Linked DNA regions of Sus scrofa. The protein of the gene in region 1 purifies or fractionates together with the protein of each later gene. This does not show direct contact. Links are inferred from orthologs where the notes say so. Each region holds a gene or a part of one and is shown on either strand. Other genes may lie near its edges.

What was found.
Region 2: the proteins of HSP90AB1 (region 1) and IKBKB purify together in Homo sapiens (affinity purification with western blotting; 3 studies listed by BioGRID and IntAct, with this or other methods). This does not show direct contact. The link is inferred for Sus scrofa from reciprocal best matches to the Homo sapiens genes HSP90AB1 and IKBKB.

The regions. Positions count from the first base shown.
Region 1 is NC_010449.5:39,246,669-39,251,022, forward strand, and holds the end of HSP90AB1 (heat shock protein HSP 90-beta), read left to right. Parts: intron 1-3; coding exon 4-312; intron 313-986; coding exon 987-1,152; intron 1,153-1,604; coding exon 1,605-1,795; intron 1,796-1,902; coding exon 1,903-2,050; intron 2,051-2,177; coding exon 2,178-2,446; intron 2,447-2,984; coding exon 2,985-3,318; intron 3,319-3,433; coding exon 3,434-3,543; 3' UTR 3,544-3,811; downstream 3,812-4,354. UniProt on the Homo sapiens protein: Molecular chaperone that promotes the maturation, structural maintenance and proper regulation of specific target proteins involved for instance in cell cycle control and signal transduction. Undergoes a functional cycle linked to its ATPase activity.
Region 2 is NC_010459.5:11,328,303-11,331,950, reverse strand, and holds part of IKBKB (inhibitor of nuclear factor kappa-B kinase subunit beta), read right to left. Parts: intron 2,692-3,648; coding exon 2,584-2,691; intron 1,299-2,583; coding exon 1,169-1,298; intron 723-1,168; coding exon 528-722; intron 1-527.

The sequences.
Region 1 (4,354 bases):
CAGCTGGAGAAGGAACGTGAGAAAGAAATCAGTGATGATGAGGCAGAGGAAGAGAAAGGTGATAAAGAGGAGGAAGATAAAGATGATGAGGAGAAGCCCAAGATTGAAGATGTGGGCTCAGATGAGGAGGATGATAGTGGCAAAGATAAGAAAAAGAAGACAAAAAAGATCAAGGAGAAGTATATTGATCAGGAAGAACTGAACAAGACCAAGCCCATCTGGACCAGGAACCCTGATGACATCACCCAGGAGGAATATGGAGAGTTCTACAAAAGCCTGACCAATGACTGGGAAGATCACCTGGCAGTCAAGGTAAGAAGCCTTGTTTGTTGGCGCAATAGGAAGAGTTGGTAATGGGCAAGTGGCACTTGCCCAACTGATTGGGAACTGGGAATGCCATGAGTTCACCTACTGATGGACCCTTCCAGGGCAGGGGAATGACATCTCCAGGGACTTCACTGTGTCTCTGGCAGCTTTGCCCATCTAGCATTCTGAATTGGCTATTTCCTCGTTAACACAAGGATTATGTACAGGTTGCACTATGTTGGATTCATTTAGGGCATTATTAGGGCTTCTCAACAGCTACCATAGAGTCTAGTCTATTCCTGGTGCTTAAGGGGGAAGGTCTTTTTTTCCAAATAGTTTTTTTTTTTTTTAAATAACTTAATTTTTTTGTTTTTTAAGGGCCGCACCCACGGCATATGGAGGTTCCCAGCCTAGGAGTCTAATCAGAGCTACAGCTGCCAGCCTACACCACAGCAACCCTAGATCCAAGCCACATCTGTGACCTATACCACAGCTCATGGCAACCCTCGGTCCTCGACCCACTGAGCAAGGCCAGGGATTGAACATGCGACCTTAGGGTTTCCTCATCAAATTCATTTCCGCTGCGCCACGACGGGAACTCCCCAAATAGTTTAATTTGGTGTTGGGACAAAAGCCACTCTTAAAATACACAGTTGGCTTATCTTGGATTTCTCTCACAGCACTTCTCTGTAGAAGGTCAGTTGGAATTCAGAGCATTGCTGTTCATCCCCCGTCGGGCTCCTTTTGACCTCTTTGAGAACAAAAAGAAAAAGAACAACATCAAACTTTACGTTCGCCGTGTGTTCATCATGGACAGCTGCGATGAGCTGATACCAGAGTACCTCAGTGAGTACCTTCTCTGCCTAATGTAGTTGGTCTCAGCTTTCTCAAAGGAACTGAAGCCTTGATTTTTTTTTTTTTTTTTTTTTTTTTTTTTCTTCTGGGCCACACCTGCAGGATATGGAGAGGTTCCCAGGCTAGGGGTCAAATCAGAGCTATAACTGCTAGCCCACACCACAGCCATAGTAACGCAGGGTCCGAGCTGAGTCTGCGACCTACACCACAGCTTACAGTAACGCCAGATCCTTAACCAACTGAGCGAGGCCAGCGATTGAACCTGCAACCTCATGGTTCCTAGTCAGATTCATTTCCACTGCGCCATGATGGGGAACTCTGATGAAGCCTTTGTTCTGAAGCTAAGGGTCCTCTGCCGTGTAACTGGTGCAGCTGGATGGCGGTGTATACTTTTTTGTTTTTGTAGGGGGGGTGTCTAACTGAGCATCCATGTTTGATTTCAGACTTCATCCGCGGTGTGGTTGACTCTGAAGACCTTCCCCTGAACATCTCCCGAGAAATGCTCCAGCAGAGCAAGATTTTGAAGGTCATTCGTAAAAACATTGTTAAGAAGTGCCTGGAGCTCTTCTCTGAGCTGGCAGAAGACAAGGAGAACTACAAGAAATTCTACGAGGCTTTCTCAAAAAATCTAAAGGTAAGCAGACAGCAAATGCTTGCTTTTTTAATGATGAAGATGGCTGTTTTTCATTCATGTAGGGGATAATTATTTTCTAGTAAGACTTTCCCTTTCCACCCTTAAAGCTTGGAATCCATGAGGACTCCACTAATCGGCGGCGCCTTTCTGAGCTGCTGCGCTACCATACCTCCCAGTCTGGCGATGAGATGACTTCTCTCTCAGAGTACGTCTCACGCATGAAGGAGACCCAGAAGTCCATCTACTATATCACTGGTGAGTGGAACGTAGGGCCTGACCACAAAGCCTCTCAGGTGTTAGGAGAAGGGGAGGACACAGGGATACCTGGGAGCTGGCTGGCTGGGGCATTCTGATCCTTGAGTCACATTTAATAATCCTATAGGTGAGAGCAAGGAGCAGGTTGCCAACTCTGCGTTTGTGGAGCGTGTGCGGAAGCGGGGTTTCGAGGTGGTGTACATGACAGAGCCCATCGACGAGTACTGTGTGCAACAGCTCAAGGAGTTTGATGGGAAGAGCCTGGTCTCAGTTACCAAGGAGGGCCTGGAGCTGCCTGAGGATGAGGAGGAGAAGAAAAAGATGGAGGAGAGCAAGGCCAAGTTTGAGAACCTCTGCAAACTCATGAAAGAGATCTTGGATAAGAAAGTAGAGAAGGTAAGCAGTGAACGGAGTAGTAAGTGCTTTCAGGGCTTTGCCCTCAGTTTCTGGTTGCTACACGATTAGTGGTTTGGCGCAGCCTTATTTGTTTAGAGCCATCCTATTTTATTCTCTTAACTGGGCAGATTTTTTTTTTCCCTCTCTTCAGGCCCCGCCCACAGCATACAAAAGTTCCCAGGCTAGGGGTCAAATAAGAGCTACAGCTGCTGGCCTATGCCACAGCAACTTTGGATCCAAGCCATGTCTGCGACCTACACCGCAGCTCACAGCAACACCAGATCCTTTCACCCACTGAGCAAGGCCAGGGTTTGAACCCAAATCCTCATGGACACCAGTCGAGTTTGTTCCCGCTGGTCCACAATGGGAACTTTTATTTTTGTTTTTTGTGTTCTTTTACTGGGAAAGTTTGTCATTGCTCTAAGACTTGGCAAAGATGAGGCTTTATTTTCCCAAGGATAGAACTTCAAAATACCGTTTTTTGCCTTGAGGTAGTTTTGATTTAAGGTAAACCAAAGATTTTTGTGGTTGTCCACAGGTGACCATCTCCAACAGGCTTGTGTCTTCACCCTGTTGCATTGTGACCAGCACCTATGGCTGGACAGCCAACATGGAGCGCATCATGAAAGCTCAGGCACTTCGGGACAACTCGACCATGGGCTACATGATGGCCAAAAAGCACCTGGAGATCAACCCTGACCACCCCATTGTGGAGACGCTGCGACAGAAGGCAGAGGCGGACAAGAATGACAAGGCTGTCAAGGACCTAGTGGTGCTGCTGTTTGAAACGGCACTGCTGTCTTCTGGCTTCTCGCTGGAAGATCCCCAGACCCATTCCAACCGCATCTACCGCATGATCAAGCTTGGCCTGGGTAAGTACCCTTGCGCAGTAGGTGTGGCGAGGAGTTGGAGAATTAGCCTGGTGGACACAGATTTGATGCTTTTGGGGCCAGATCTCAAGTGGCATTCTTTCTTCCCTCTTTCTAGGCATTGATGAGGACGAAGTGACAGCAGAGGAGCCCAGTGCTGCTGTTCCTGATGAGATCCCCCCGCTCGAGGGTGATGAGGATGCATCTCGCATGGAAGAAGTAGATTAGGAGTTGCTACCTGCAAACTTTGTTCCCTCTGTATAGTGTCCCCATTGGCTCCCCTGGCAGCAGCCCCCAGTGGCCCTAGCCCACCTGGTCTCCTCTGCTGATGTCTAGTGGTTTTATTTGTTTTTCTGTCTAAGGCAGGCTACAGGGGCCGCAAGCCCTAATAACCCTTCCCACATTTGACACTGGGTTTGGGTGTCGTGTACTGTGCTCGTTTATTTTGTTCTGAGATTAAAGTATGCAAAATAAAGAAGATGCAGTTTTATACAGTTCTGCGCTCTCGTAAGTATATACAACACTGCTTTTGGAGTTTCCCTGGCTTCTCACTCCCTAGTCTTGAGTACAGTCACATGGTACATGGGGGACATGGTTACTGCTAACTATGTGACAAGCGGTAGTTTTGAGCTGCCATCTGTACAACACTCAGTCCCCTTCCTAAAGGATATATAGATGGCCTTCCACTCACAACAATTTTTTGACTTTACTATGGTAGCATGAAAGCACACATGCAGTAGAAATTTTTTTTTTAAGGCTGCACCCCACAGCATGTGGAGGTTCCCAGGCTAGGGGGTCTAATCAGAGCTACACACATTGGCCTTTGCCACAGCCACCCCAGATCCATTGAGCGAGGCCAGGGATTGAGTCTGCAACCTCATGGTTCTTAGTCAGATTCTTTTCCACTGCACCATGATGGGAACTCAGGAGAAACTACTTTTCAGCTTTGATCTTTTCCTGGGCTGACAGTATGGCTAGCTACGAGAGGCGCAAGGGTAAGGTAGCTTGTGAGTTTTCAGGTGGGCTAGCCTAAGCTGTG
Region 2 (3,648 bases), on another chromosome or scaffold:
CAGGGGCCAGGGGACAGGCTCCAGAGTGGCCCACCGGCATCGCCCTCAGCCAGCGCGGCACCCACAAAGCCTTCTTACTGACTTCGGACTCAACCCCCTTCCGCTGCTCCTTTACACGCAGCCCCGAGTGCACACCTCATCCACCACTGACTCCCTTCTGTTTCGTTCTCTGACTGCACAAGTCAGACCTTCGCTATCTCTTTACTATCCCGTGACTGGCTCTCCCACATTAACTCGTCAGCTCTTTGGGGGCAGAGACCATGTCTGGCACGGCTGTGGCTGTTGCCACAGTTCTGCACATGAGAGGTGTGCCAAAAACCCTTTTGGCCGAGCCGGAAGAATGAAACACAGCTTTGGCAGCAAAGGTAAAAGAGAGGCACTCTCTCGGTCTAGAAGGAACAGGTGACGCGTGGAGTGATCCATGTCTCCTATTAAGCCAACAGGATCTCACATTCCACCCTCAGAACAGGGAGGTACTTGCCCGGTGTGGGTAAGGGCCCGCCCGCCCTGAAGGGGCCAGGGCTCACCTTGCCATCGGAGATGCACTGAGCCGCGGGCTTGTCGGGGATCAGCGCCAGACCCGCCTCCTGCAGCAGCTCCTGGGCCTCCTCGAGGATGCCTGTGTCCTGCCGGATCCGGGCCTTCAAGCTCTGCAGGCTCTCGTCCTCGGTCACGGGGTAGGTATGAATGGTGCCTGTGACCATGTTCAAGATATGAACCAGCTGCAACACAACCCAGACGTTACTGGAAAAAAAAACTACTTGACAGAGACGCCCACCTGCTGGCCTGGATCCCTGCTCCTCCCTGAGCCCCCAGCACACAAAGGCCTGGCCTGGGGAGGGGTTCAGTGCTGGGTCGTTTTTTTTTTTGGGGGGGGAGGGTAAGTGTGCAGTGGCTCAATGTGGGATCTCGGTTCCCAGCCAGGGACTGAACCCAGGCCGCAGTGGTGAAAGTGCTGAATCCTAACCACGAGGCCACAGGGAGCTCCCCAGTGCTGGGTCTTTATAGTCAAGTCTGTCCTCAGCTATGACCTCACAGCCCAGGTTGGTCAGCATGGGGTCCTAGCATCTTCCTCACGTACAGATGCCCCCCACCCCGCCCCACCAGGAGGCTGCATTCCCCGGTTGGGGAGGGGCCCCACGGCCCAGCTAGCTTGGTGCTGGCTCACCTTCAAGGTTAAGATGTCATCCAGGGCCTTGAAGCAGCCATTGGGCCCGTACGTGGGATCGGTGCCCCTCTGCCGGGGGTGCCACATCAGCATCAGCTGCAGCCACTTCTCCAGCCGCTGGGCCAGGACACTGAGAAGAGGGCATGGGTGTTGGGGAGGTGCGTGGGAACTGAAAAGTGCACCCGCCTCACACGGGTGTCCCTGTTGCACTGACCCCTGAGGATGAACTAATATTTCACATGCTCACCCCACCTCAGGCAGACTCCACCCACCATCTGGACCCCACGCTGCTGGATTCCTAGTCAGTCACCCCTTGGAAAGCACCTGGTGGGTCCACACGACAAGTTCTTGATCCTTCCCGACCCCCTCAGCACCCACAGTGGCCCTTGCTGCCCCCCATGAAGGCCCTCCAGAGGCCAACACTGCCACCTCCCCTCTGCAGGCCCCCTCAAGCGTTCTTCCCTCAGCTTCCTTCCTTTTCACCCATCCCTGTCCTGCACATTCTTCCAGATCCTTCCAGAAAGTTCCAGCCCATCCATTCATCCCATGTAGCTAGTCCACATAGTACCTCTCTCCCCACCCCCTCAATACTCATAGTCATTCTTTTTTTTCTTCCTGGCTGTACCCATGGAGTATGGACGTTCCCAGACCATGGACTGAATATGATCCAGCAGATGCAGTCTATGCTGCTGCTGCTGCTGTGGCAACATTAGATTCTGAACCCACTGAGCCACAGCGGGAACTCCACTCATGGTAATTCTTATCCGTGCCTCTCAATTGCATGCAGCTGCCTGGCAGCTTTCTTTTGTGCTGTTACCGGGTTCTGATACGATTACCTGACTGCTCATATTGTGGCTCTAAGGCCAGACTGCAATGCTGTTCACACTGCACAGGTTTATCTGCTGATGGTAAGCCAGCATTTGGCTGCACGGGGAGTGCAGAGAGAAATACAGTGACTCTCCTGCCCTTCCAGTGGACCAGGAGATAAACTCTCTGCAAAACCCAGTGTAATGCAAGGCAGATGCCAGTGAGGGGCGTGAGAGGCACAAACCGTTGTGCAAGTGAGTGAGGAAGACGATTTCTAATTGTGGCGAGGGGTTGGAATGCGTTCCAAGGTTAAGACTGAGATGGGACCCAGTTAGGTTCATGCCACAGCAGGACACCCTGACGTAAAAGCTATCAGCCCTCAGAAATCCCACACCTCTTCTTTGTTTTATTTTGTTTTCTCTTATTTTTTGGCTGCCTGCAGCATATGGAAGTTCCCGGGCCAGGGATCAGATCCCAGATGCAGTTGTGACCTAAGCTGCAGCTGTGGCATCACCAGATCCCGAACCCACCGTGCCGGGCTGGGGATTGAACCTACGTCCCAGTGCTCCCAAGACACGGCCAATGCTGACACACGTCCGGGGCCTCACCTGTTGAGGTTGTTGGGGTAGGGTAATGAGCTGGAGAACTTCACGGTGCCATTCAGGTCCTCGCTCACCACGATGTCCATCTCGCTCTTCTGCCGGACTTTGGAGTGCCTGCAGATGTGGGGCCTCGTCTCTTACGCCACTCATAAGGATCCCACATCCCTTGATGGCCAACAGCTCCCTATGCTGGTAACCTCCACCCTGGCTGCTATTTAACCCCATAGGGTGCCGGCCAGTGCTCTCAGGACACTTCTCTGAGAGTCTAAGGTCATTAGTACTGCCCAGCAGGGTTGTATGGCTGACTCCTGACCCCATTCAGGGCAGGCTCATTCCTTTGTATTCTTCTACTTTTTGTTGTTGTTGTTGTTGTTGTTTTTAGGGCCACATAGCAGCACATGGAAGTTCCAGGCTAGGGGTCAAATCAGAGCTGCAGCTGCCAGTCTACGTGACAGCCATAGCAATGCCAGACCCAAGCTCCGTCTGCGAACTACTCCATAGCTTACAAGTAACATTGGATCCTTAACCCACAGAGCAAAGGGCAGGGATTGAACCCACATCCATGTGGATACTGGGGGGTTAACCCACTGAGCCACAGTGGGAACCCCTCATTGTTCTACTTTTCATCTAATACCGAACACTCATGTTTTGGTAGAGGATAAAATCAGGACTTGCACACCAAGGTAACTGCACATGGATCCCCTCCCCATGAAATATGCACGCACTTCCCTCTAAAAGCACGTGGCCAAGTGTTTTACATCTGACAGTGAATGAATGATAATGCTTCCCAACTTAGAGAATCTTTCGACACATCTGAAATAGCATTTAAAGGAGAAAAGGTTTTTTTTGCTTTTTAGGGCTGCATCCATGGCACATGAAGGTTCCAGGCTAGGGGTCGAATTGGAGCTGTAGCTGCCGGCCTACACCACAGCCGCAGCAACCCAGGATTGGAGCCACATCTGTGACCTACACCACAGCTCATGGCAACACCGGTTCCTTAACCCACTGAGCAAGGTCAGGGATCGAACCTGCATCCTCATGGATGAGAGAGAAAAGTTTTAAACTGGTCTC